Linked DNA regions of Tamandua tetradactyla. The protein of the gene in region 4 interacts with the protein of the main gene of each other region in a pairwise test. Links are inferred from orthologs where the notes say so. Each region holds a gene or a part of one and is shown on either strand. Other genes may lie near its edges. The genes, in order: RPL9, PIN1, PBLD and CCDC184.

Region 1 (7,450 bases), on a different chromosome or scaffold from region 4:
CATCTGGGCCAAAACCTGCTTAATCACACTGTCCCAGGGTGGTTGCTGGCTCTCTCGGTGATACAGTACCAGAACACACTATTCACACAATGCAAATCTTATTTCTATTGTATATATTTAGTATCCCTCAAAGTTTTTTACATAAAGGTTTTCATTAAATGTCACTAATTACAGATAGTTATCAAATAATTTCTATCTCAATAGAATAAAAAAGCATCCAGAGTACTAGGCTTTAAAACTTAATTATGTCTCAGGCAAAGAAACTTGGTGTTTTTCAGTTTAATCATGAGATATTTCCAATTTTAGAGATGCGCAAAATGAGAGCCAGTGAGTTGAGATGATACTTGGCAGTCCACACTATTAACTGCACTTTTTAGGATTTCAATTTGCAAACATAATTGAGCCAACATCCACGCCCTGCAAATTGCTCCAACGTATAACCCGTCAGGATCCACAACTGGTAAAGATAAATCTTTACCTAGCACTAAATCTTGTAAATATCAGAAAGGAACTCTGAAATAATCTGGTTTTACTCATAGGCAAGCCAAATGACCAACCTTCACAAGTATGAAGGAAAAATTTCTGAATATCTGAGGATATGCACATACCTGGCCTCATCCGAACTCTGCGGATATATTTTTCACCCAAGAAATTTCGGATTTCAACAAGAGAACCACTCTCCTGAATAACAACGTTGATGGGGAAGTGAGCATACACAGACCTCATCTTGTAACGGAAACCCTATAACATTAATAAATTCAGCTTCAAAAATTTGTACAATGTTTACATTATACTTTCAAGAATTTTAACTGTCCTCAGTTTTTATGACTGACACTTCTGCCAAATCTTACATTTTTATAAACACACATTTCAGTGTCTCTTCACTGAACAGCGTAAAGTTCTTCCAAGAAGCACTTATTTTACTACCTCCCATGGCCACAGCAAACAATATGCTAACTTCTTTTAATGAAAGCCCTCAGAGCCCCTCATCTTTAGCACTGAGTGGACATTCATCCAGTTACTAAGGTATGCCAGATGGCAAGTAAGACACAGGCCCCATGCTCTCAAGGAATCTAGTCTGGAAGCAAGATAGGGAGAAACTTGATTTGACAAGGTTCATAATGGAGGTAGGTACAAGGTCCCATCATCAACTGCACTCCAGAAGGTAAGTAAAGCTTGCGCTGTTCTAAAGGATGTCTAAATTTAAATTTAGCAAGGGAAAGAAAAGCATTTCAGCAATGGCAGTAGCATAAACTTTCTCTTAATAACGAAGTCCTTGGAAAGAGACTACCCACATCATCTATGCATCTGAGAAATTGGGAGGAGTTCAGTTACAAGTTATATCCATCTTTTCTACACCTCCAAGGAGCCCTTGTGGTTAAACATACTAACAAGTAACCAAAGTCTATTGTACTTATTGCAGCTGTAGTTTCTGGTTTTCTAAAAAGTAATTAAGCCTCTCATGTGAAAACAATACACCATCATCCTGTTTTTGTTTTAAAATTCCACCCATCTGGTCTTTAACCACATCATTCAATTCTAAAGATCCAAGGATGCCACATTTTCCACGACTATTTTTCCAAGTTCTAGCGCTTATATCCCACTAAATTACATGTGTATTCCATGCTCTTAGGAAGGCAAGTACAACTGAGAAACTTCTCCCAAAACAAGTGTGGTCAATATACTTACCAGTGTAACACCCTTGATCATGTTCTGTACATGACTACAGATAGTGCGAACCGTAGCCAGCTCCTTTCTATTTCCCCACCATTTGTCAACCCGAAGCTGTTAACAGGGAAAAAAAACCCCAAACTTTAGAGCCCTCAATATGTAATGTTTTTATAAGTATACTACATCACAGGTACACAATTTCACAAGGGCATGACTACCCCAAAACAATGACTTTTGTAAGTTACAACAAACTTCACTTCTACAATACCAGATTTTAAATGACCCACTGTACCATCTCTAAGATCAACTGAGAGAAATACATCAGTTAAACCTAATTTGTAATGGTACAAAGATCTGCCACTGAGTACTACTTAGTAAGCTTTATGCAGAATTTCATTCTTCAACTTCCCTAAATAACAAGTCAACTACTATTGTGAACATCAAACCTTCAAGTAAAACATTGCACCTCCAATTCTGCAATTTCTAAAGCAACCAAGTTGCATGCTATTATAAGTCACCATATTCCAAACAAGTATCAAAAAACCTTACCCTCTTCTTTTTCTTCCCAAGTAGACTGAGTTCTACATTGATATGATTGAAGTCCCTTCGCAGGGTTCCCCGGGGCCCCTTGACAATAACTGTGCGTCCCTTCAGCGTGATGTCGACTAGAAGAAAGACCGTATTCGTGAGACCACAAAGCAAGGTAAAGGACGTTTAATAAATATGCAAAAAGACAAAACATTAAGTCTCATACCATTTTCTGGAATGTCGACAGTCTGATTGCTGAGAATGGTCTTCATTCTGAAACATAAACACTCGAAGTGAAAAAACCGGCGCAGTGTGTTCTCGATCAAACCACCCGGCAAAGTTCCACTTCTACAGGAGACTTCCAGGCAAAAACTTGGGAAGGACACAGGATAACTACCTACGCCCTAGAGCGGCCCCCAAAGTGTCCTCGCTTGGGAGAAGACGGCCCTAAATCGGTGTTAGACAGCCCAGCCGGCGAAGGTCAGCCAAAACCACTTTCGCTGCCTTGGGAGGCCCCATTCTGGCCACGCCATCCCGGAAAGACCGAGGGGCGGGAGGAGGCCTAAACGCCCAGAACAGGGCCTGAATCCCAGCACCGCCATGTCAATACCGGGCTCCTTGTGCGGGGTTAAAACCAGAATGAAGCCTCCGCGCGCCAGACCCGCGACCCCCGCTTTCCCGAAACGGATGGCTTCAGATTCTCGAAGCCCAGCGAGGATAAAATCGTCCTCACCTCACAGTAGACGCGGCAAAGAGAGAACGTGTTTCGTCATCACGTTCTTGTAGCACGTAGGGTCCTAAGTATTCCGTCATAAGTGCGCGACGCCGCTAAGGCTAAAGCAGCCAATTGCGACGCAGCTCAAGTGCCATCATGTCAGTGGCGGACTGAGAATCTTGACGTGAACTGAGCGACGGTCCATTAAGCTGTACTTTCCCAGGAATCATTGGTCCCTCCACCCTGCTAGATCCAAAGAGAAGATGTCTCTACGTTACAGAGGGACCGCCCGCGTACTAGGGCCCCGGGTGAGCGGCGGGACGAGTCGTTTGTGGGTATTGGGTGGCGGGCACCCATCCCTTCAAACGCTTAGAGTGCCCAGTAATAAAGCCTAACACTTGGTAGCGTTTGCCTTGCGCCAGACACTGTTCCAAGCATTTGTCATATACTAAGTCATTTAATTCTCCGGACAGCTCTATGAGGTGGTATCTCTGGTAGTGAGTTGATTTAATGTTCTCTGGCCCAGCGCTGAGGACTACACCCACCAGCACCTATCTCAGTGCTTTGTACCCTACATTTATTAAGGCACTGCGCTTAGCACTCCAAATTACTGCTTATTATTATTCTGCGTTCACTGTGTAGTAAATACAATTCTACCGGTCCTTTAGGCTTTGGAGGGAGACAGGGAAAAGTACAGTAGCAGTTGTGCCGCAGCCTAACTCTAAATTTATTAAAGGTTACCTTGCGTTACATGTGCTGACTCCTGAACTTCATAACGGTTTGGCTTTCTTGTGCACATCTGTGTTTATATTTAGAGGCCAAAATACCATGGCTTTATATGTTCAACAAATATTTATTCTGATGTTCAAATACAGAGTCAGTGTAAACTGGAAAATAAAAACAACATTCGATTTGGTTTTCCTCCTTCCAGTTCTCTAAAACTAACTTGGCCTTTCCTTTTTGTTTAACACTTATGCTTATGGAAAGCCAAAGCAGAAAGATTTTTGCACATTTCCATGTACGTGTCCTTACTCAAGTCAGGAATGGAAAATTCCTGTGGCATCCTCTCCAGTTATTGCAGGTTAAATTTGTGGAAAGACCGCCTTTTAGTACCTAAGTGAGATACATGAAAGTGACATGTTGGTTCCAAAGGTTTCCAAATCCATTCAAATCTAACAAAAACAGTTAACACCCATTCATCTTTAAGTTTGGATTGCTCTCTTTAGATTCTAAGCTCTTACATAATTAGAACTTCTAAATATCTTGACTAACTTCTGAGTCAGTTCTCTGGCTTTACCTTCCCTTCTAGATACTAATAGGTTAAAAAGAAATTATTCTAGTCCCCACTAAATAAATTAGGTAATATAATGAACTCTCTCTCTCTCTCTAGATATTTGGAAGGTATTTATGCAGTCCAGTCAGAGCATTGAGTTCCTTGTCAGAAGAAAAAAAGGAATTTTTACAGAATGGACCAGATCTTCAAGATTTTGTATCTGGTGATCTTACAGACAAGAACACCTGGGTCGAATATAAAGGAAACTTAAAACGCCAGAAAGGAGAAAGGTAATTGAAATTTTGAGACAATTTTAATTTTAATATCCATTCTTTCATCATGCATTATTTCCAGATATAACAAACTCCAGATTATTATTTTTTTATTTTAGACTTGTTAAATTTAGCCAAAATCACCAGAAAAATAAGTGCTAACTAGTAAAACCTAAATAGAACAAAGAAGTAATGAAGTTTTCGGAATCCTTTTCTTTTCTCTTTTCCCTGTAACAGCTTTTCTTCAAGCTTCCCAAGACCTATTTCAGGAGCCTTAACCATCTTCAAGTACGATCTCCTATTTTCTGCCCAGCATCTAATTTCTTGAGAATGAAAGTTGAAACTTTGCTACTAATCTGTGTAGACTTTAGAAAAATTTTTTATTATTACTTGATGCTGATGATCCAACTTGTTTTGCTCCCAGTCAATTTATATGTAACCTATAAACACCTTACCTTAATTCTAAAGAATGGTGAGGGAATTTCATCCATAGGGCAAAATGTTTTGTAGGATACTTTATCCAACAATTTCTAGATCACGAATTGGCAAAAGTTGAGGGGAATTTGAGAATAGATCATCTCTATTCCAAATTTTAGCTTTTTTCCATTTAATAATCATTTAAAAATCTAGAATGTAGAGCACATAGTGCACTGTTGGGATCTTGCCTTACTCTGAACAAATATAGTACTTTGGGGCAGTATTATCCATTGGGGAATGAGATGTTAAAAAACTTATTCTTTTATTAGAATGGTGTAAGTCTGCCTTTGCAAAACTTAGACATAAACATAATACCTTGTTAGATGCCATTTTCAATATTTTCTAATGTGGTTTGAGTAAGCCTAAATTGTATTATTCCTATAGCTGAAATTATGAGTTAATTCAGCATTATAGCAGGGTGGCGGGGGATATCCTAACTAGGAATTGTAATAGAGCAAAGTGATATCAAAACTGTGTGATTCCTTAGCAGTATATTTGTTAAAAGATAGTTATGTTTGGCTTTCCTCAGGTTAAGACTACCTCCATGGTTAAAGACAGAGATTCCCATGGGGAAAAATTACAGTAAACTGAAAAATACATTGAGAACTTTAAATCTTCATACAGTAAGTCTGTCAAAGTGTTAAATATTCCTCTTATCCAAAAGTCATGCTGTTTCTACATATATATATAACTTAAAAATTAATATTAAATATATAAATAACAATTCAGAGGAAGTAAATAAAAAAATGTCATTGATGCATTACTTCCAGCAATTGGAATACATTTAAAATAAGTTTCCCTTCAAAAGAGAAACAAAAGATAGTAATAGTTTGTATTTCTTAACTTCTCATTTAATAATTTTTAAAAATATGTATATATTATTTTTTCTATAACTTGAGAAACAAGTTTTGTTTGATTTATATTACAAACAAAATTATGAACTCATTGAAAATAATATAAAGTTAAATATGAAAGCATGTCACTTACACAATCCCAAATGTTAACCATGCCACTCTTATACTTTCAGACTCATAGACCTTTTTACTTTGCACCTATAGAATATATACATGCATATCGATTTTAATTTAAAGGATAGGCCTGTGGTTTGGCAATTGAACAGCATTTTTTGAATAGGGAATTTCTTCATTAATATAACAAAGGGCAGTTTAAAATGCCTAATTCCAAGTTGTTCAATTGGTTACTATTTTCAACCTGATTATTCCCTTTTGCTCACAGGTGTGTGAGGAAGCTCGATGTCCCAATATCGGAGAGTGTTGGGGAGGTGGAGAATATGCCACAGCCACAGCCACAATCATGGTAAGGACAGCCTCAGACACTGAAATTTAAGTCTAGAAACTGACAGGAAATATTTTTGTCTTCCTACTAAAAATGTGCATTATGAATCTGATCAAATTTTTCATTATATGGGAGTTTATGAGAAATATGAAGGGAAAGAACTGATAATAATCCAGCCTATTATGATCTCACCATTCTTTGAATGAATCTGTTATTGATTCTGTCAGCTACCTGAGAGCTGATCATGTGCTGCCTTGAAACATCTCTTCTGTTAATTTTTGGAAATGTTTTTCTGTTCCATCTGTTTTACAGGTAGGAGCTGTGCTTCAATTTAACTCCAACAGAGACCTGCACATTGCTGTTAAACAATTGTGTATTTTGTTTTTTTTAAATCATTTTATTGCTCCGAATAGATATAAAAGAATGTTTATAAACTGTGTGTAAGTTATAAAGAATAACAATACAGTGGACACCTAGATACTGTTGTCCAGTTTAAGAAGATCAGCATTATCTTTGAATCCCTCCTGTGTGTCACTTCCTGATCCCATCCCCTTCTCTTGACACGAGTGTCCTGTTCCTTATAGCTTTATTACATGTATTTTTATTGCTTAACTACTTATTGTTCAGTTTGGAATATTTCAGACTTTTTATAAACAATCAAACTGTACAACTTCTTTACAGCTTGGTTCATTATCTTAACATTATTTTCTTGAGGATCATCTGTTTGATTTAAATTACAACATTTCTTTTCTAGTTGATGGGTGACACATGTACAAGAGGTTGTAGATTTTGTTCTGTTAAAACTGCAAAAAATCCACCTCCACTGGATGCCAATGAGCCCTACAATACTGCAAAGGCAATTGCAGAGTGGGGTCTGGATTATGTTGTCCTGACATCTGTGGATCGAGATGGTTAGTATGTCAATCATGTCTACTTCCTGAAACTGGCTCTTACTAAATTGTGACATCGTCTGGAACCATGGGTTATTTTTGTTTCTAGATATGCCTGATGGGGGAGCTGAGCACTTTGCAAAGACTGTGTCGTGCTTAAAGGAAAGGTATTTGCTTTTGTAATTTAAAATTAGACCTTTTTGTCCCATATAAATTCCATTTATTTAGGGTCTTTACCTGAAAGCAATGATTATTAACCTTTTCAGGGGTTACAAATTCTTTAGATAATCTGATGGTAATTATGTGGCTGTTTCTCCAGAAAAAGTAT
Region 2 (7,644 bases), on a different chromosome or scaffold from region 4:
AATTAATTTAAGCTTAAACGGTCTCATGTAGATAGTGGTGGCCATACTAGACAGCTTTAGACGAGGGTTCTGCAAACCCTGATGGGCCAAACCCCATTTGCTTTGGCAAATAAGGTTTTAGTGGAACACAGCCACGACCATTTGTTTACGAATTGTTATTGGCTGCCTTCCCACTGCAACAGAGACCTTATGTCCTGCAGAGCCAAAACTATTTGTCCATCTACCCTTTTAAGAAAAAAGTCAATCCCTGCTCTAGACTGTGAAGGAGACAGAACAGTGCTAGGAATAGCCTCCGCTCTCAGGTCAGAATTCACTCACGCAAAAGGCTCCTTTTGCGTGTGTGACCTTTATGACCTTCAGGACCCACCTGCCCACACAGGTGACCCAGGGCTCTGCTGGATGATACTAAAACAGCTCCACAACTGAGAGCCGACTGTGTGCCCAACACTACCTCACCTCGGAGGCAGGTGCATGGTGATGCCCACTTACAGAGGAGAAAACTGAGCTTGGAGGACAGGCAGTGACAAAGGTCCCCCAAGGTCCTGGGGTCCCCAGATCTGTTAGCCTCCAGGGCTGGGTCCTCTATGCCTACCCTGGCTCACCTGAAATGCCAGATAGTGAGAAGAAGAGGCAGCCATGGGTGCCAGGCTCAGGTCCTGCAGTGACATGTCATGCCATACCTCACAGCTGGGGCTGAGTGTCTGGTCTGATTCCCACAAGGCCCGTTCCCACCAGCCCTCCCTAGAGTGAAGACTCTCCACTGATATCCTGTGCCTGGCTGTGCTCACCATTGATCAGCTCCAGGGCCTCCTCCTTTGTCCGGGTGATCTTTTCCTGCCGCCAGGACGAGGGTCGCCGTGACTGGCTGTGCTTGACCAGCAGGTGTGAGCAGCGGACCCTGGCAGGCTCCCCCTGCCCATTTTTGCCACTGCTGTTGCCACTGGGCCGCTCCCACTGGCTGGCATTGGTGATGTGATTGAAGTAGTAGACCCGGCCTGGAGGGGAGGGAGGTGGAAGTTCAGCTGACTGGAAGTCAGGATAAGAGACTGGCCAGTGTTCAGTTGGCACATCCATGGTGTGTCTGCCATGTGGCATAGGCCCCGGGGACACTGGGGCTAATCTAACAGCACCCAGTCCCTGCCTTCAGGAAGTTAACATACTAGGTGGGGACAAACGGGCACTAAAGACGCAAAGTAGACAACTTCAGTCATCGATAACTTCAAAAAGAAAAATAACCCAGGAGGGACAGAAGAGAGCAAAACAGGAGAGTGTTTCAAGTGTACACTCAACAGCCATGCCACCACGGTTCAAATCCACCTCTGCTATTCGTTCACTGTATGAAAGTATGTATGCTCTCCCTTTCCTGGGCCTGAGTTTCCCACCTGTAAAATGGAGCTAACAGTTGCTGTTGTAGAGTTGTTGGAAGGAATGAGTGCTCATCTATAAAGTGCTTAGGACAGAGCCTGGCATGCATTAAGAATGTAAGAATTACCTCCCTTTTATAGATGGCAAAACTGAGGCCCTGCTTCCCCGTCTGTGGTAAGAGCAAGAGCGGGTAACGTTTCCTCAGTTGTTTACTCTGCTCCAAGGTCAGGGAGTGGGATGGGGGCATGGGGCGAGACAGGAACTGTACACAAAAGCTCTGCTCTCCATTGTGGCACAGTATAATCTCCTGCAGAAGAAGCAGGGACCAGCATTACCGGGGGCCATGGTCCACCCAGGGACTGAGGAGCACGTACAAGTGAAGTCTGCAAACAAGCCTGAAGGACCCAGTAGAGAAAACTGTTATCCCAGGGGCTGAGGGTTTGCCTGAGTCACATAGAAGACTCAGGCCCAGTGCTGCATAGGGCAGGGGGTCACCCTTGAGGGTGACTGTCAGGAGTGGGGGAACCCAGAGCTTGGCAAGAGCATCAGGCTGATGCCACAGGACCCAGACACAGGCAAAGGTGGGGGGGCAGGTCAAGGGCTCGGGTTCTGGGGGCAAATCCAGGTGAGTCACTGACTACAAAACCTTCTGCAATGAGATCTATCCCCCTGAACCTCACTGTTCTCATCTGAAGAGTGGGGGTGAGAGAATAAGGACATCAAACCTCATGGGTGAATGTGTGGAGAGAGAGTCAATGAAGATGCATGCAAAGTGCTGTTCCTCTGAGCTCTGGAGATAGCTGCTGGGCTCCTATGAAGTTTGCAGTGACATGATTTTGGGGAGGGCCCCGGGAGTCAGGTTTAATTTTTTTATCAAAAAACTAAGATTCTTCGATATATATAATCCAGTTTACTGGATTTAATCCAGTCACTACCCCCTAAACTGAATGACCACGGGCAAGAGTTCCTTAAGCTTTCTGGCCTCAGTGTCCTGCCCTGCAAAATGGGGGCAATAACCGTCAAGTTCCCAGAGTTGGGGAGATTCTGCCTGGTGCAGAGATGAACGTGGCCTGATATTGGTGTCGTTATGGGGGGGGGGGGGGTCCCCACGCAGGGCCCGTGCTCAGACAGGGTTTCTGCGGTGGATATCACAGACCGTGCATTAAGTGTGGTTGGCAAGGGTGTTTCGAGGAAGCCACGCCCCGGGCATGGATTATGGGGTTACCCTCTCCAGGGATGCCCTCCGAGCCCGAAGGGATACAGGGACGTCAGGCGCATGAGGGCCGGCAGAGACAGGGCCAAGGTCCGGGGGTGAGCTGCGGGCTCCCTGGCCCCTCCCCACCGCACCCCGGTCTCAGTTTCCCCCGGCTTCCTGGCTCTCGAGGCTCAGAGGCCCCACAGGGCCGTTACTCGGGGACAACGCGGAGGAACCAAGACCCCACGGGAAAGAGGCGGAAGCGCCGCGGGGCCCCAGGTGTAGCTCGAGCCCAGCTTTCGCGGGCCCGCGCGGTCCCGCCCCGGCCCCGGCCGCCCCCGACTCCCGCGGCACCTGAGCTGCGGCTCATGCGCTTCTCCCAGCCAGGCGGCAGCTTCTCCTCATCCGCCATCTTCCCTTCTTCCGCAGCGCCCGTTCCGCCTCCGCCGCGCCGCCGCCCGCACCCGCCCACTGCCGCCGCCGATTGGCTCGACGCGCCCCGCCCCGGGCCTGGAGACAACGCTTATTGGCCACCCCCGCCGTCGGCCCTCGCTGCCAGGCTTTTTATTGGGCAGAAGAGAGAGAAGGCGGCCCCACCCCTGCCTTCCCTAAGGCCCCGCCCCCGACCGGCCTCACCCCCGCCCCGCCCCGTCCCTCTGATTGGTGGGTCATGATGCGGGCCCGCCTTTCTCCACGCTCTTTGGCGAGCTTCAGAGTCCAGATCGCGGCGTCGCTGCCTCGCCGCCCAGCCGGGCAACCCGGAGCCTGGTGCTTGGCCACCGAGGCGGCCCTTCCCACCCTCCCAAGCCGTCCCCAGAGGTCCGCAGGCCCCCCTGGTTGCTATCCTCGGGGAAGTGTTTGCCGGGTGTGGGGGTAACGGCAGCCGACAAGGTTCTTGGGAAAGGCGGTGTTGCCTTTGCTGTTGCCATAGCAACGCAGTCGCCTTGGTGACGAGTAGCTGGGAGCCCAAAACCTAAATTAGGCTCCTCCATTCTCCCTTTTCCCACCTGTTTCCAACCAGAAGTCCAAAGCCAACCCGCCCTCCTTTATTTTTGGCCAGGCTAAACCCCTGTCTGTGCTACTGATTCCTGACACCGTCCCCTTCCTCTGGGACCTGCTCCCATCACTTATTCCCTCTCAACCTCGCTCCTTCCTCCGTCCTGGGGGGTGGGGGGTGGGGGGCGGCGCGGGTGGGAACCGGGGAGGACGATGAGCTTGGTTTGAGCCAATTTTAAGTTGGGTTTGCGGTGCCCGTGGGGCACTGGGAAGGTGGATGAGGACTCAGGACTGGAGCACTGCAGGGTGGAGATGATATGGGAGTCAAAGACACCCACCGGGAGAGTTCAATTATAGTTCATCTAAAGCGTGGGTTTCTGTTGAAAAGAATGAGGCAGAGGGAAAGCAGGTCCAGGACAAATTCGAGGCAGGATGGGGGCGGTACCTTGCTATGACCTTGAGCAAATCACTTAACCTCTGTGCTTGGGCTTCCCATCTGCAAAATGGAGACCAAAAAATATACGTATATATACTCACCAGTTCGATGTGAAGAGTAAATGGATTAATTCAGATAAAGCACTGAAAACAGTGCCTGGCCCATAGCAATGGTATGAAAATGTCAGTATTGTATGCTGGGTGAAAAAAAGCAAGTCATGGCTCAGCAGAGCAATTATAATGTGCACGAAAGCAAAACAAAACAAAAACATTAATAAAGAATACTGTGGTAGGTTGAATTGCACCCCAGTTTGGACATGTTCTTGTCTCAGTCCACTTTCTAATGGGTTTGGACCCATTGTAAATAGGATCTTGAAGATGACACTTCAGTTAAGGTGTAGCCCAACTGAATCAGTGTATTGGTTTGCTAAAGTTGCCAGCATGCAATACACCAGAAATGGAATGCCTTTTAAAAAGGGAATTTATTGTTACAAAGCTTACAGTTCTAAAGCCAGAAAAATGTCCAAACTAAAGGCATCCAGAGAAAGATACCTTGACTCAAGAAAGCCTGTCACATGGGAAGGCACATGGCTGGCGTCTGCTGGTCCTTGTTCCTGATTCCGTTGCATCCAGCTTCTGATTCGAGTGGTTTCCTCTCTAAGTGTCTTCACTTAATTCCTCCAGGACACAACTCTGGGTTCTGATTAGCTTGGCACCTCATGGGAAGGTACATAGCCACTATATGCTGTCAGCCCTCCAAGAATCTCCAGGTGTCTGCATCTCTGTCAGCTCTCAGCTTCCTCCAAAATGTCTCCTCTTTTAAAGGACTCCATAAACGAATCAACACCCACCTTGAATGGGCGGAACCACATCTTCTAACCAAAAGGCCACACCCATAATTGGGCAGGCCACATCTTCATGGGAGTACTCTAATCAAAAAGGTCATACCCACAATTGAGTGGGTCAATCTCCATGGAAACAATCTAATCAAAGGTTCCCACCCTGCAATACTGAATCATGATTAAAGGACGTGGTTTTTCTGGAGTAGGCTACACTTTCAAAACAACTCAATCTGGTTGAGTTTTAATCCACATTACTGGAGTCCTGTATAAACAGAATGAAATTCAGATATAGAAGGAAAAAGCTATTGGAAGTGAGAAGCTGGAAGTCAAGGGAACCCAGAGGAGATAGAAGAGGTGCCATGCACATTGCCATGGGGTGGAAAAGCCAAGACAGCCAGTCAGCCAGAAGATACTGACCCTGGGAGCAAACAAGCTTTCTAGGCTTTGAGAGTTTGAGCCAATAAACTCCTGTTAAGCCAACCCATTGTACGGTATTTGTTTTAACAGCTGGGAAACTAAAATGGGTACCAATTAAAAGACTGAGATAGATTGCATATGGAAAGACGTCAAAAATATAAAGTGAAAAAGCAATCTGCAAACAGTATAAACATACATACTTATCTCAACTGTGTAAAAACTATAGATTTGAATCAGAAAATTTTGGAATTTGTTCAAACGTGTTAATGATTTGGTGATGAGAGTGAATAAAGATATTAAACTCAATTTTTAATATACTATTTGGATTTTTTTTTGGTATGCTGTATGGTGGGGTCACATTTCATTATTTTTTCCATGTATCCCATTATTGCAGCACGATTTGTTGAATTTTTGTTTATTTTTGGGAAGTGCATGGACCAGGAATTGAACCCGGCTCTTCTGCATGGCAGGTGAGACTTCTACCACTGAACTACCCTTGCACCCCCTGGGTCTTTTTTCACAAGCATGAATTAGCATCAATTTTTAAGAAAGAACTTTTATTTTTGAGATAATTCTAGACTTAGAGCAGAGGTACAAATGCAGTACAGTGTTCCCCTAACCCTTCACCCAGCTTTCTCTTATGATACCATCTTACACAGAAATAGGGCAGTGCCTCCAACTGGGTATGACTTTGCTCTCCAGGGGACTTTTGGTAATGTCTTAAGACATTTTTGGTTCTCACAAATGGTGGTGGAGGCAGGGGAAGAACACTACTGGTATCAAGTGGGTAGAGGCCAAGGGTGCTGCAAAACATCCTACAATGCACAGCCTCCACAACAAAGAAGTATCCAGCCAAAACGTCAACAGCGGCAAGGTTGGGATATCTTGGCCTAAAACAGTCATCAAAACTAAGAAATCAACATTGGTGCAATGCTATTAACTAAACCACAGGCTCTTCCCTTGTCTCTCATGACCTTGACACTTTTAAAGGATAGAATTCCCTCATTCTGATGTGTTGTCATGATGCGTTAGTCCATTTCTCATGATTAGCCAAGGTTATGCATATTGCGGATACCACAGAATCCATGTGACCTTCTCAGTGCATATTATCAGGTGATAGATGATGCTGAAATTTATTACTGATTATAGTACAGTATCTAATGCTGCAAACAAATGATCCCACTTCTTAGTGGATTATCATTTATTATCTGTTTTCTCTGGGTTAGGAATCTGGGCACAGCTTAGCTGTGTTGGCATGGACAGTTGCGGGCTCATCAAAAGGTTTGACTGTGGCAGGACCTGCTTCCAAGCTGGTCCATATGGTTGTTGGCAGGATTCAGCTCTTCAGAGGATGCTGGACTGAGTGTTAAGGTTCCTTGCTGGCTGTTGGCTGGGGGCCTTTCCATAAAGCAGCTTACCATATGGCAGCCAGCTTTTATCAATGACCAAGCAAAAAAGCAAGAGTGAGCAAGCAAGATGGAGACTGCAGTTTCTTTGCAACCTACTGTCAGAAGTAACATCCCATCTTTTTTGTCATACTCTATTCATTAGAAACCAGATGCAGACCACATCGAAGACAGGATTACACAAGGGTTAGAATATCAGGATGTGGGCCATCTCAGAGACTGCTTACCACACTGATGATATTAACTTTGATCACTTGATTAAAGTGGTATCTATACTTACTATTTTCCTCTTTTGTAATGAACAAGCATTTTGAGAGTCATACTTTGAGACTATGCAAACCTCCTACTTCTGCTTAAATTTTGTCACTCACTTCAGCATCTACCAGTGGATCTTGCCTGCAGCAATTACCCCTGTGGTGCTCCAGTGGGATCTCTTAATTTTACCTTTCCATCTATATTATTTGGAAACTTTCTGAAAGGGAGAGTTGTCCTTTCTCACCCATTTACTTATTTATTCAATTATTAATTAATGTTAGAATGGGTTCAAGTCTATTTTATTCTTTGGTTTATAATCAAATACTATTATTATTTCACTGCTCAAGTTGTTCTATTTTGACCATTGGGTGGTTCTTTCATAATAGCTGCTGTGTTTTTTGTTTTTTTTTCCCCTCCCATCTTTTAACGCTTCCTACTCTCTGTCATCTTGTATTTTCCCTGCCTGCCCTGGAATCAACCACTTCGCCGAGAAGCCCTGGATCCTTTTTTGGAGAATAGTATTTAGAAGCCAGGATCAGGGCACTAGGTACTGGAATGCCTCTGCTTCTGGTCCCTCTCGGTGGATACAGCAAGGAAATATATATGTGTATTTCTGTGTTTGTCTGTACATATATTAAACAAAAGCCATGAGTTCATACTGATACCCCAACTCTACTCTAGCCCCACAGTGCTCATTCTTGCCTTCCTTTTTTTGGGGGGGGGGGGCACACGG
Region 3 (7,079 bases), on a different chromosome or scaffold from region 4:
CTTGTCTTGAAATGAAACAAAGCTTTAGAATTGTATAGAAACTCTTAAAACTGTTACCCAGAAATTTTTACTTTCTTTTCAGCAGTCTTTTGTCAAGTATTCAAAAGCTCATAGTTCAATTCCCTAGTCTACCGCTGGATAAGGATTGGTTTACATGCCTGTTTACCCATGCACTAGACACGCACTTTGAACACCTCCAAGGAAAGCAAACATATTAATCTTTGTACCTCTGGTCCCTAGCCCAGAGCCTGGCTCATGGTAGACGTCAATAAATATTTGTACAACGTGTTACAACATGCTGTATACCTACTGGATTTTGGTCAGCATTATAAGGTTTAGCGCTTATGAGTCTCTGATATTTTTCTACATTCACTTTTGTTCTTTCTAGGCATTTCAGGTGTTCGCTCTCTCCAGCCATGGGCAAAGAACTCAGGGGCAGAAAACACAGTTTATACATCTATTGTAATTTGTATTGATTATAAATTGGGAAAAACCTCCAGGAGGACAGGATTCTCATATCTAAAGAGTGGGAAAACATGAGGAAGTGGCTTAGCAAACTAATTTTTAAAACCTATTCATTCATTGGTCTTTACTATAGCAATGCAGATATTTGTAAGAACTTTCTATTTGATATTTTGAGAACATTCAGTTTTGACAGCTGATCAAATGGTATCTAAGTTAGCATTTAATATTTAGAATTTAAGAACTTCGCTATCTGGATACATAGATTTTTTTCCCTGTTGCCTTAATTTTAAATTGGTTTATGAAACTTACTGCGCAAACACAGGCTTTACAATGATTATATGGATATTCTATTTAAATATGCCTATGGTTAAGTTAACTAAGATATTCATTGTTGGTGGTCCTGAGTGTATTGGTTGTTTTTTTAAATAAAAAAAATTTAACAACAAAATAAATAAATAAATAAATAAAACCTGTTCACGTGCCCCTGACAGGTCATCAAGTTAGCCTGTTCTCACAGGCCAAGACCCAAACAAGTGAGTTGGAAGACCTGAATGAGCTTTGCATTCTTCCCCAATCAGGGATTTTCTCGTCTTCTTTTTCCTCCTTTCATTAGTACTTAAGTCTATTGCTTTGAACTTTGTTAAGCTCTAAGCTAAAATATTTCTTTCCTAGTCTTTCTAAATACAGAAATAACATGGAATATATATTTTAATGGAGAAATAGATAGGTAGATAGATGATAATGGATGGATGGATGGATGGATGGATGGATGGATGGATGGATGGATGGATGGATAGACAGATATAGATTCTCTAAGTCTGGTGTTCAGTGAATTTACTGGAGGTAAAAGGAGTACGTTGGAAAATAATGCGAATTCTGGTTATCTGGTGACAATTGAGTATATAAATCACTTAAAACTATTTCAAATCTCTTCAAGGATATTACATGGGGACATGAGCAAATCTACTAAGAATCTTGACCTAGCAGTTTTAGTCAATTCCAAATTCCTTGACAAGAAGTTATGTTTGCCAGATTGTTTCTTTAACAAAGCTCACAATTTGGAATCTGGTTGTTAATATCCTCTCACTAATATGCCCAAGCTCTTGAGAGTTAGTACTTGAGAAAGCCTATTAACTTATTTATTATTTTTTGCATTTTGAGGAGGGAGAATGCCACCTACAAGACTGCAAGAAGGATGCCTTGTTAAGGTGAGATGAGGACTTTAAATCACCATTTTACAGCTATGTACTGAGGACTCAATTAACAATATTCACCTAAATCAGTAAAACCTTAGCGATTCTCAACCTTGAATGCACACATATTACTTGAGGAGCTTTAAAATAACAGTGATGCCTGAGTCCCACCTCCAGAGATTCTGATGTAATTGGTCTGAGACACAGTCTGGACTTAGAATTTTTTAAAGCTCCTTAGTGATTTTAATGTGCAGGCCATGATGAGATTCTTTGCACTCGAAGGCAACGTACGCTTTTTGCCCAACTTAATATGACTTGTTTGAGATCAATTTCTTAGTGTCCCTTAAGTAATTCTCGGGTAATCCTCTCTTACACCAGCCAACTGCTCTGAGTGGAACCTTACCTTAGCTTGTTTCCTACTACCCAGGGACCAATACAACGCCCCTAAGGTCAAGGAATATTAAACTATTCTGTTAATATTTATCCTAATAAAAAAAAAAAGTCATTTTAAAAATGAGACTTGTGGCATGACAGTGGCTCAGTGGCAGAATTCTCGCCTGCCGTACTGGAGACCCAGGTTCATTCCCCAGCGCCTGCCCATGCAAAAGTTAAAAAAAAATAAAGGAGACTTGCAGGGAGGGCAACGGTGGCTCGATGGCAGAGTTCTCGCCTGCCATGCCTGAGATCCGGGTTCGATTCCCAGTGCCTGCCCGTGCAAGGAAAAAAAAAAAGAGACTTGCGGTAAGCTAAAGTCACTATATATTAGGGCTTAGTACCTTCCACTTAATTTTATAATTCCTTGCAAAATGTCTCATTTTCTTAGTCCTGAAGAGACTTTCTACTCGTGTGAACTGTAAGTAGAGTTAAAAATATCCAGCTAGAATTGCTTAGACTAAATGTAATAGAAGTCATATCCAATCACATAAAATTCATCTAATCTCATTCTCATGAACATTTGGTGTTAACTAATTCTAGTTCTTCCTTAGATGAATCTTCGTTTCTCTAAACTTAACTGAGGTGCAAGCATTTTCTTCATACTATTTGGTCAAAATCAACTTCGGGATATGAATGTTGCTGATATAATTTACCAAAGAATACAAACCAAAGAAGTAAACAAACAGCTGGGTCTGATTTTTTTTTTTTTTTTAAAAAAAGAACTAATTGGTTCTACAGAATGTAGAATTTCAAATCCAAGTACTTACATTTTCTAGGAGGCAAACAGCAGCAGGATTCCCACGAAATGCTTTTGTTGTAAATGCATCTACTACAAAAACAGGGAGCTTCATTTTTCTTGCAAGTTCTTAAAGTTGTTGGTAGACTTTATGTCTAATTGTTGCAAAAAATAAAAAAGTTAATATTTTACTTGGTGTAGCGAAGCAACTAGCAGTTGCCAGGTATAAAGTCAAGCGATTATTTTTAACACACCTGTATTTAAAGATATGTGGTCCCTAGATATTTTTTAAAGCTTCTAAGTTGAATTTATTTTAACATACTGAGTAAATGGAATCTTTTCAAATACTGTATTGAGTTTTCATACAGTGTATATAACAGCACAATCATATCCTTTCTTAGAGTAGACAAAACTAGTATAGGCTAAGTTTATAATAAAGTGCATAAAATGGCCAAGAGGCAAGGAAATCTGCTATTTACACTCTACTAGTGGAAATCTCTACTATTTCAAATGAACACATTTTTTCCTAATTATTAAAAAGTGCCCATTATAAAAACAATGGAAAATAAGTAAAAAAAAAAACCCACACACAACCATACAAACCGGCAATCATTTATTAATGTTTTGGATATGAATTTCAATCACATTTTTCCCTCTTAGCATTATAGCATGAATAGTTCCTAAGGGCACTAAAAATGCTTTAAAAACATCAGTTTAATAGATTTACAATAGGTTTATGGATATGCTACAAAGTATTTAGCCATTTCCCCTTTAGCGAATATTTAAGTTTCTAATTTTTCACAGGTAAAGATAATGTAGTGATCAAACTAAAAAGTAGATAAATCTACTTCTCTGATTTTTTTTTAATCTATGATAGCTTTCTAAAAGTGAAATCCCTGGGTAAAAATGTGTAGACATTTAAACTTATACACACAATTTACTTTCAGAAAGATTGTATAAATTAAGACATAGTATGAGGGAGTCCTACCATTGCTAATCTGATAAATGAAATATAATATTTTGAGTTTTCATTTGCTTTTGTTGAATTATTCTAACCAAATTGTAAGAACCATGAAGTCAGGACTTGTTTCTCTTCTCTGCTATAATCCCAGCTCCTAGAATTTCTGGAAAGCAATAGGTACATATTGAATTAAGTAAGAAAGTAAATAATAAACTGAGAAAAACGCTAAAACTGGACTTCACACATTGGCTGACAAGTACTTGGGATTTCTCATGATGGTACCCCCTGTGAAACAACATTTCAGATCAGTAGTATTACTGTGTTTGACAGTATATTACGATCTGTTTATGTAATTAGAAATGTTTTAATATATTGCCTTTATTACTTTAGAAAAATGAATAAAGAATAGAAACAAATTAAAGTTCTAATAATTATATTATTTCCATAAATGTAATAGAATTGAGACAAATTTGTAAATCATAGGTGTGCCAAAAGGAGCAAGTTTTTAACTTTATGAACTCATTGGTCCCAGCCATTGGGTACATTTTTAATTGGATGAATAACTATATATTAAAGAGACTGTCTAATTTTTCTATTGGGATCATATATATTCATGTGTTAATTTTTACAATAATATGTTTGCTTAAATATTCCTCTAAATTTTACTTAATTTAATTCATTGCAGAAGAATGAAATCTACAACTAAGTACTTTATCAGGCTACTGGAAATACTGCATTGTTTCTCAAATGAGAACATTTCTTTAAAGAAAAAAAACTTCCAGAGTTTGACAGTTACTGTCATTTGCCAGAACAATAGCCTTTTTCCCATACCTCCCTCTCCCCTGCCACATATACCTTCTCTTTTCCTTAAAAAACTCCAATTTGGCATGTGACCCATTTAGGGAAAGATCACGACAGGGATTCTGGAGAAAATACTTTGTTGTTTTTTTCTTGAAGATGCAGAAGTTTTTATTGGCCACCGTTTTCCAAAGGGCACCCTGCATCTCTTGCCTCAATGCCTCAGAACTTTGGTGTCGTTGGTCTCAGATATCACTTTGCCATCCACAATCCTGTGGGTAGTCTTCTTGTGGATGGTTTGCGTGGAGTTGCTGCTATCTAGGGCATCGCTGAGACTGAAGTCCTCTCCATCTTCTAGCAGGCAGTGGTATGCGGCAATCTCAGCCTCCCAGCTTGACCTTGATGTTCAGTAGGGCCTCGTACTCTTGGGCCTGGCTGTCCCTCTGCCCGGGTCTGTGCCAGCTCTGACTCCAGGTGCAGTGGGACCCCATTAAGCTGCTCTATCTGCAGGGCATAGCCGGCTTCCACCTCCCGCAGGCTGTTCTCCAGGCTGACCTTCAGATTTCTCATGGAATCCAGGTCGATTTCCAAGGACTGTACAGTATGTCTCAGCTCTGTGAGTGTCATCTCAGCAGCTCCTATTTCAGTGGACTAAGAGGTGACCACTGTGCTGCTCTCTTCAATCTGCTGAGACCAGTACTTGCCCAGCTCCTCTCGGTTCTTCTGAGCCAACTCATCATACTGGGCCTGGCTGTCTGCCATGATCTTGCTGAGGTCCTGATAGTTGGGGGCATCCACCTCCACGGTCAGCCCAGAGCTGGCAATCTGGGCTGGTAGGCCCTTTACTTCCTCCTCATGGTTCTTCTTCATGAAGAGCAGCTCCTCCTTAAGAGCCTCGATCTCCGTCTCCAGCTGCATCTGGGTGATGTTGGTATCATCGATGACCTTCTGGAGCCCATGGATATCCTTCTCCACGGACTGACGCATGGCCAGCTCAGTCTCGTACTTGACTCTGAAGTCATCAGCAGCCAGTCGGGCATTATCAATCTGCAGAAGGATGTGGGCATTGTCACAGAATTTTCAAAGATCTGAGTCCTTAGTTCCTCGATGGGCTTCAGGTAGTGGACCCAGTCCCTGACCTGGCATCCCTTCTTCTCCAGGTGTTCAGGAATTTTGCCCTCCAGTCTCCAATTCTCAGTCTCCAGGCTCCTCACCCTGTCCAGGTAGGAGGCCAGGTGGTCGTTCAGGGCCTGCATGGCCTCTTTCTCACCCTGGATGCCCTCCATTCCCTCCAGGCCCATGGCCAACCTGCTGGCCAGGCCCCCGGCCCCCCAGCCGCCCTGGGAGCTAGAGGAGCGGGACACAGAGATCCGGGAGCCCGAGCTGCCTGGGCCCGCATAGACACTGGCCACGCTGCTGGTCGGCCGGACCTGGTGGCTGGGCAACTGGACAGAGCCCAGCAATTGGTAGTTGGTGAAGGTGGTGGAATGGGTGGTGAAGCTCATGTTGTCTGGGGAGGAAGGCAGGAAGCCGGGACTTGGGATGTGGCTGCAGACCAGTACTTTGTTTTTGATAAAAGTAGCAGGGCTGAGTGGAGAATATCTTCTATTGCCCTTACCCCCTTTTGCCCATCTTGAACATGTTGCTGATGCCTAGAGAGATAACACTTATCTTTTGATCATGAGGTGACACGTAAGAAGAACTGCCAAGCTAGGTAACAAATAGTCTGGGTTCTTGATGATAAATAAAATGTTAGAACCTACTACCCCCAAACTTCTGCTTATGTGAACAGTGAATGCTGTTAAGGCTCAAGCCATTGCTAGTCCATGAGAGAATAATGGCCACTCAAAAGATGTTCATGACCTAATTCCTGGAACCTGTGAATATGTTACATTTCATGGCAAGGGGGAATTAAAATTGTAGACATAATAAGGTTACTGATCAACTAACCTTAAAATAAGGAGATTCAGAAGGAGAAGAGAGGAGAAAAGGGCTAGGAAGAGTAGTTGAGTATATAATGGAGGGAAACTTCCCAACCCTTGTGTAAGACAAAAATATGCAAATCAAAGAAGCCCAGTGAACACCAAACAGAATAAATCCAATAGGCCTTCCCCAAGACACATACTAACCAGTCTGTCAATTGTTGAAGAGAAGCGGAAAATTCTGAAAGCAGCAAAGAGAAAAACCATCTAATACATACAAGGGAAACCACATGACTGAGTTTAGACAATCCAACTGGCACCATGGAGATGAGAAGGCAGTGGTATGATATATTTAAGATTCTGAAAGAGAAAGACTTCCTGCCAAGAATTCTGGACCCAGCCAAATTGTCCTTCAAAACTAAGGGAGAGATTAAAATTTTCACAAACACATCCTGAAATAATTTGTCAACAAGAGACCAGCCCTACAAGAAATACTAAAGAGATTTCTACCAGTTGAAAAAAAAAGACAGGAGAGGGAGGTCTGGAAGAGGGCACAGAAATGAAGAGTA
Region 4 (7,021 bases):
GCTCAAAGGAGCTGACTAGAGCTGATGTCAGTCTAGGTTCCCTGGGGAACCCCTTACCGGCATTCTTCAGTAGACGCCTGTGGCAGTTACTGTGGTTTCTCCTTTGTGTGTCGCTACCTCTCAACAATCCCAGGTAAACCCTCCCAAACAATATCCCCTCTCTAGCCCTTCCATGAAACAGGTGTTATGCCTGCCATTCCAGGACCCAGGCTTGGAAATCATCTCCCAGGGACCAGTTACTTCACTGAAAAGACATCTCTAGCACATCTAGAGTTCGGGCTACTAAAAACCCAATTTAGTTTAGGAGTCTCAACACATACTCCCTCCTTCCTTAGTCCAATTGGTGGTTAGGGTCCAGGAAAGAAAGTAAAGCCGGCAAAGCTGTCAGTGTCGGTCCCGACCAGAGTCGGTCAATTCCTCAAAACTGGAGGCAGGGAGAAAGAAGGCAGAGTTCCTTCCAGAATCCAGGGCCCAGAAGCCTCACCCTGATATCCCCCTGATACCAGTCAGCAAGGAGGGGAGATGACACCTCTTTATTAAGTTCACACCAAGGAAAGCATTGAGAAGGAATACACAAAGGAGGGAGAAGAGCACACAAGTCACCACTTGAGGAGGCATGAGGGAGGCACATCAGTTAAGGATCCTCAGGACAGCCACATGCTCCATGCCCTGGTTGGGGGTGGGTGGGGAGGAGAGCAAAGGGGGAAGCGCCATGATAGCATAGAGCTCCAGAAGGGTCTGCAGCCTCCTCAACCTAACATCAGAGCCAAAAGCCCTGCCCCTCAGGGCTCACACACTACTATACAAGTGGACACACAAAGCACACAAGACATCATGGAGGCAACACCAAGAGGCAGTGGGCAAGGACATTTTGTCTGGAAAAGGAGCTAAAGTTAAGCAGGAATAGCCAGAAGTGAGACCAGCTTTTGACTGCAGCCCCCAAGAGTCCCTCAAACGTCCCCTAAAGCTGGGCTGTTGCTGAGCATCCCGAGTCTCTGCCTGTGAACCGGGCTCTTTGTTCTCTAAGCCCCAGTGAGTGGAAAAGCAATCCCAGATGAAGTCAGTGACAAGGCAGGATCCATGCAAAAATCCTAGAAGTTGAGCTATTATGTCTTCATGCACATACATAGCCAGCTCCTCCCAGCCCAAGCGCCCTTGGAACCCCATTCACCCAGATTCCTAGGGCTGCAGTTCCCTCCTCAAGCTTTCTTTACCAATCATCAGGCGCAGAGATTTGTGAGGGGGAGAGGTTTCTGCAGAGCACTGAATATCTTGGGTTTCAGCAGAAAGGTAAATTTCCTGTTTCCAGAACAGAATACCCCAATTCCTTAATTCCTAGGTAAAACTTTAAAGATTATTTGCCAGAGTCCTAGATAAGTCCTTTTTCAGAATAGAAAAAGCAGAATTTTATTTACATAATTTAGGAGTTCTCCAGTTGGCTGGGGAGGGGACAAGGGTAGGGTAGGGGATGGATGGTAGTCCAGAGATGGGGCCGCTTCTTCTCCCTGAACCTCACCTTTCCGCGGTTTACAAAGTCTCTCTTATTGGGCAGAAAGAATTCTTGATGCTCCCAAAGTCTTCACCCTACAAATCCTTCCTCAGGGGAGTCTCTCAGTCTGACCAACAAGAGCAGCCGTCAGAAGCATGCTGCACCGCGCTGTTCAATCCCCTCACGTCATGCACCGGGAAACCCAAAGCCAGCCGGGGAAGGTAGTGCCCATGCGGAGTCTCCTTACAGAGAGGCCTCACCCTCCAGCTGCAGGAGGGTAATGTCGGGCAGATCAAGGGGATCCACAAGTGGTCCGTCCCCCGCAAGAAGGCCAGCACAGGGGCTCTTGGGGCGCTCACAGTGACTGGTGGGTGTGGCGGAACTGGTGGGCACCTCCTTCTCCTCTTCCTCATCGTCGTCCTCCTGATCCTCGGGATCACGACCCGGTAAGCCACTGTCTCCCGTCCCAGGAGAAGGGATCTCCGGCTCTTGGGGGGTGCCCGAGAAGCTCCCTTTGCCGCCGACCACGCCCAGGCCGCCCTGGCGGGGCGCGGTGGTCATAATCTGGCACATGGAGACGATGGCCCGTTGGTTGGCGCACACGTCGTCCGAGAGCACCTGGATATGCGAGGCCTGCTCGTCCAGGGCCCCCCGCATGGCCCTCACGTCCTCAAACAGGGCCTGCAGCTGGGCCTTCAGGTGCTCCATCAGTTCCTTCATGCCGCTGTTGTACTCCCCAGAGATCACGTCCCCCACGGCCGGCACGGTGGACACCTCCAGGGGCGCCGGCATGTCGCCGCCGTCCTTGGTCATAATCTCCAGCAGACCTTCCTCCATTGAATGGCACAAGCGGGCGGTGGCGGCCCGGTCTCGGAGTGGGGCAAGGGGCGGGGAGGGGTGGGGTCCCCGGGGGGGCGAGAGGAGCCCAGGGAAGAGCAGGCTCTCCAGAGGGGCAGGAGCCGACTTGAGGAGACGAGTCCTGGGAGGAGGGCGCGGGCAGGACCTGGAGAGGCAGGGCAGAGGCGGCGGGACGCGCGCCCGGCGAGGGTCCCAGGGCCGGCGACTCTCGGACTGTCCCCGGGACGGAAGCACCCTGCCCTGCTTATCCTGGACTGCGCCCGTGCCGGCAACGCCTTTCGAGCGCCACGAGCGCCTGGGTCAAGGCCGAGGCCAGCAGCGGGTCCGCCTCGGGACTCCCCCGCGCCATTAACCGGCAGCGCCCGCGAGTGTGGCTGGAGCGGCAGAGGTGGGTCTCCCGGCCGCGCCGCGAATGCTCCTCTGTTTCCAAGGCGACGCACGGCACGTAAATGACGTCTGTCTCCATGGCAACCAGGAAGTGGAGAAGAAAAGGAGAGGACGGTTGGGAAGCTGCAGTGGGGCTCCCTCGTCTAAGCTAGCAGGTGGGGCGGGAGGGGAGGGGATGCTGCAGTGGCCTCAGGGTAGAGAGAGCATGTGGCTGCGACGTTCTATAGGAAGCAGGAGGGAGCAGTTTGCTGCGTACACGCCAAGCCCAGGAGAGATCATCCCTCCCCCAGGTAGGGTATTAGACACTGAGCGCGACTGCCTCAGAATGCTTCTCACCAGTCGGTATTCCTTTGTCAAAGGAATGGCGCTAGACCCAAGTCCTACTTTTCTGTCCTCCAGCCGTTTGCAGGGAAGCGGAGGGTAGAAAGACCTACGCTAATAATCCCAGACTTGAACTGGTGCGCGGCGGCGCTCTGCGGTGGGTCCCGGCAGGCCATAGCTGTGCAGGGGCAGGAAGAGGGCACTACGGAAGTTTCTGCAGAAAATCAGCCTATTTCACTGTAGTAAGCACAAAACTGAGAAAGGGTGGGATTTCCTCCGTTGGAGACCCACTCGCTCCTATCTAGGTCACTGTGGGGTTTTCCAGGATAGTGAGGCAAAGCACTCACACTTTGAATGAAAGCTCCTAAAAGCAGAGGTTTTTGTTTTTGTTTTTGTTTTTCACCTCATTCACTTAATCCCCAACACCTAAAATAATCCCTGGCACATAGTAAATTAATGCTCAGTAGATTCGTTGAATGAGTACTTTAACAACAATCACTCTGTCCCCCATTCCCTCATTCAGAACTCTCAACAAGTAGTGGATTTTTTTTGAGACCTGAATTCAGGGTATGGTTCTGCCACTATTAATTCAGAGATCTTGGCTTAATCAGTTTCCTGAATATGTGGGTTCCTGATCCACGTTTTCCCGATCTGTGGATAATCCATAACATTATTTCCAACTCTGAATAATACTACACCTGCTCACAGGTGAAACGGTAAAGTGTAGAGGGATGATGGGGGGGGGACCAGGTGTGAGGGTAATATCCCCCCCTTCCCCAGTGCCCATGACATACACTGAATGTCCCAACTTTTGTGACACTACTTGAGGGGGAGAGTGAGAGTTGAGGTGGAGGAAGAAAAATTTGATTTAGTATGTTTACAGAAGACACAAGATTGGGAAGCAGTGAGCACCTGAGCAGCAGCATGCTAGTAAATAATGTCTCTACTAAGTCAGAGAAGCCAAGTGGTTAGAAACCGAAAATGAAGTTCCTAAGAACAAATACATGTGGGAAAAAACAAACTATCACTTCAATATGGAGAAGTGCTAGCTATGGGTGAATGTTTTTTGTACAGTTGTTCAGTGAAAGCAAATGTGTTGCCTTGGGGTTACTTTGGTTGGGTGCTCTAATGATGACGAGGAAGCTGGTGCCCAGAAACTTAGGGCACTAAAAAACTGTTTGGCCTTTGCCTGTCTTACGGCTATTAAAAAATATAAATTGGAAATATCCTAAATGTCCAACAGCACAATGTTTAAATAATCTAAGGCATTGCTGACATAATACAATAGTACACAGCCATTAGAAATTTGATCCTCTTCCCAATAAATGAGCAAAAACAAAAAACAAAAAAAACCCACAGTATTTTCTAAAACTAATGATTCAATACTATTCGCTTGCTCCTTCCTTCCTCCCTCCATGCCTCCCTCCCTTCTTTCCTTCCTTCCTATCTACTCTTCCTTCATTTCACAAAGTTGAATCACTCTCACCTTGCTTATCCCTGCTACCTTCCACAGAGTATTCCGAAAGCACTGGCTCAGGAGAGGACAGTAATGCTTTTTCTTGGTTTCCCTAAACACACCTGAAGTGGGCTGATATTTACAAATAGACTTTACAAAAAATTGTAAAGACAAGGCACATAAAAGCAGCTAAGCTTGTACAGCGTACATTTCTGGTCATATTATAGCAAGTTTGTTTGCAGAGCTTATGGAATCAGCCTCCTGCTCAATCTTCCTAAGAGAGCTATACTCCAGCCAAAAAAGGCTGGCATGACTTCCAGGCTTTTTGCCTGCATCTGTTACTGCACATCTCTTGGCCTACAGCTACCTACAAGTAATGGCCCTGTCCTCATAAGAGGGCCTCCTATTTTATCAATCCACTAACCCTACATTAAACATAGCCTCCTCAGAGTCAGAGCTGGGTTATGCCATCATACAAGGCTTTTTTCCACTATTGTTGAGGATACCAGATATGTCAAGGCTTTAGCATAAGATTACATCATGCTGTCTAGAGGCAGTGGCCATGAAGCCTGCTGAGAATACAGCAGGCTTGAGCCTAGAGGAGAGGGAAATTATTGGAGAAGCAAGAAAGAAAATGGGAAACAGGTGCAGAGATGAAGGGGTGTCGATGATCCAATCAAGTTCCAGGTCAGACATTCGAAAGCCAAGGGTAGGTGGGAACTGGGAATGGACCAGTAGCAAGATTTGTAAATAAAAGAAGGAGATGATTGATGTGACAGATACAAAACCAGATCATTTCAGGAATTCTGAGTGAAAATATGTTGGGAAAATAGGAGTAGAATCTAGTCTCCAAAAAATTGCACAGCAGAGCAGAGCCTCAGTCAGATGGCTGAATTACAGGGCTGGTTTCTCTGGATGCCAATGTCCTAGGTTTGTTGAATGGATCCATTTCCAAACAAAAGGAAGCAGGATGGGCATCCTGGCATCCCACTGAAGTATTCAGAAGGAATGTCACATCGCGAGAGAAAAAAATCCCCCCTCCCCCGTCATGTTCTGCTTCTGCTTCCTGCTTTTCTCTTATCTTAGTCTTGCTATCCCCTCATCCTAGTCTCATCAGCTCATGACGAGAAGAGACCCCATGCTGTTACACATATAGATCTCCTATCAGGTGCACCCAGATCCAACATCATATTCTCCCTTAAATTTGGATTCCGAATAGTCTCTGTTATTTATTCTATCTGGCATCTAGTTTATCTCAGTCTCTATATAGCTGGGTATCTTTTGCACTATTAATGTAACAGTCATGATGAAGATACTTGCTTGACTCGGGTCTAGGACAATGATCTAAGTCAAGATACAGCTGACTACTGCACTTTAGTTTCCAAATCCCCAACAATAACTCCCCAAACGTAACTTTTAAGAAGCTGAAGTGCCTGTGACCCATCTCAGTATGGTATTGCATTCAAAAGAAATACATACACTAGCCAAAAATAATTAAAAAGCAATTGAAATTTTTATTAAAGTCTCTGGGAAAATTCTAAAGGGATTTACTTATATTCTTAGCACAGAGTAAACCATCTTAAACTTCTCTTCCCTCCTTCTCCCTTTATTGCACACGTAATAGCATAACTGTTACCATTAGTCTTTCTCCTTTCTCCCCAGATACCCCCAAACTTTCTCACAAGCCTGGCCCTCACTCTCTCTCTCTTTTCTGCTTCTCTCACTTCTGGATGTATTCCTTCTGTCTTCTATAGGAAGAGACTCCTTGCCTATCCAATGTAGATCAGTCCACGTTTGTTTCAGTTCCTTTGATTCTGTCCCTCATTTCCCTGACCTGCACAGATTCGAGGTACCCCAGCTGTCAATGACAGGTGTCTCAGAGGGCCAGAGATACTGAGAGGATGAGAATACTCGTATTATGGGTTTTGTCTATCACTTAGACTAGGTTTTCTCGGTACCAGAGGATAATTTGCCTGGTGTTATGGCCGACCTGCTTTGCTCATCTCCCCACTTACCCAGAGTAACAAGCATCGAATTTTTCAAGGATTCTGGCCCTTGTGAACCGTTGACTGGGAAGGAGCTCAACTATCCATGTCCTCAAGAGATTTTAGTGACAGACATGGCCATGAGGTGAGCCACATATCCACTCCTTACTTAAAGCCTGAGCTGGACTTTCAATGGCTTGTTCATGACCTTAAACCACTACAATCACCCCCACCCCACCCCCACGAACACACACACACACACACACATACATACCATTGCCTTCTTTCTCTTCCACTTTTAACTTTACCAGAGCAAGAACTCCAAGGCTCTGTCCAACTTCTCAGGCAGGCTGAATTTCCACTGAAAGTGATCCCTTATTCCAATTGAACCTGCTTTGTCGGTGTCCATTCTCTCTCCCCTCTCTGTACTGCCCACGGTTACAGCTTCTCTTATAGCAACACTTGCACGGACATTTTTTCCTCTTTCAGTGCATATTCAATCATTTATCCCACACCACTCTCACA

The links.
Region 1: the proteins of CCDC184 (region 4) and RPL9 interact in binary tests that used the Homo sapiens proteins (3 or more experiments, as listed by UniProt). The two-hybrid records come from large-scale screens. The link is inferred for Tamandua tetradactyla from reciprocal best matches to the Homo sapiens genes CCDC184 and RPL9.
Region 2: the proteins of CCDC184 (region 4) and PIN1 interact in binary tests that used the Homo sapiens proteins (3 or more experiments, as listed by UniProt). The two-hybrid records come from large-scale screens. The link is inferred for Tamandua tetradactyla from reciprocal best matches to the Homo sapiens genes CCDC184 and PIN1.
Region 3: the proteins of CCDC184 (region 4) and PBLD interact in binary tests that used the Homo sapiens proteins (3 or more experiments, as listed by UniProt). The two-hybrid records come from large-scale screens. The link is inferred for Tamandua tetradactyla from reciprocal best matches to the Homo sapiens genes CCDC184 and PBLD.

Annotation. Positions count from the first base shown.
Region 1 is NC_135345.1:41,212,827-41,220,276, forward strand, and holds the start of RPL9 (large ribosomal subunit protein uL6), read right to left. Parts: upstream 3,021-7,450; 5' UTR 3,013-3,020; coding exon 2,933-3,012; intron 2,897-2,932; exon of another isoform or gene 2,810-2,896; intron 2,473-2,809; coding exon 2,426-2,472; intron 2,337-2,425; coding exon 2,221-2,336; intron 1,786-2,220; coding exon 1,690-1,785; intron 742-1,689; coding exon 609-741; intron 1-608. Other genes in the region: LIAS (lipoyl synthase, mitochondrial), read left to right, coding at 3,178-3,222, 4,305-4,477, 5,466-5,559, 6,173-6,253, 6,987-7,143, 7,232-7,289.
Region 2 is NC_135337.1:91,911,426-91,919,069, forward strand, and holds the start of PIN1 (peptidyl-prolyl cis-trans isomerase NIMA-interacting 1), read right to left. Parts: upstream 3,023-7,644; 5' UTR 2,973-3,022; coding exon 2,915-2,972; intron 996-2,914; coding exon 789-995; intron 1-788. UniProt on the Homo sapiens protein: Peptidyl-prolyl cis/trans isomerase (PPIase) that binds to and isomerizes specific phosphorylated Ser/Thr-Pro (pSer/Thr-Pro) motifs.
Region 3 is NC_135339.1:29,027,256-29,034,334, reverse strand, and holds the start of PBLD (phenazine biosynthesis-like domain-containing protein), read right to left. Parts: upstream 3,014-7,079; 5' UTR 2,945-3,013; coding exon 2,861-2,944; intron 1-2,860.
Region 4 is NC_135333.1:108,230,284-108,237,304, reverse strand, and holds CCDC184 (coiled-coil domain-containing protein 184), read right to left. Parts: upstream 2,742-7,021; 5' UTR 2,327-2,741; coding exon 1,733-2,326; 3' UTR 515-1,732; downstream 1-514. Other genes in the region: ASB8 (ankyrin repeat and SOCS box protein 8), read left to right, coding at 2,910-3,024.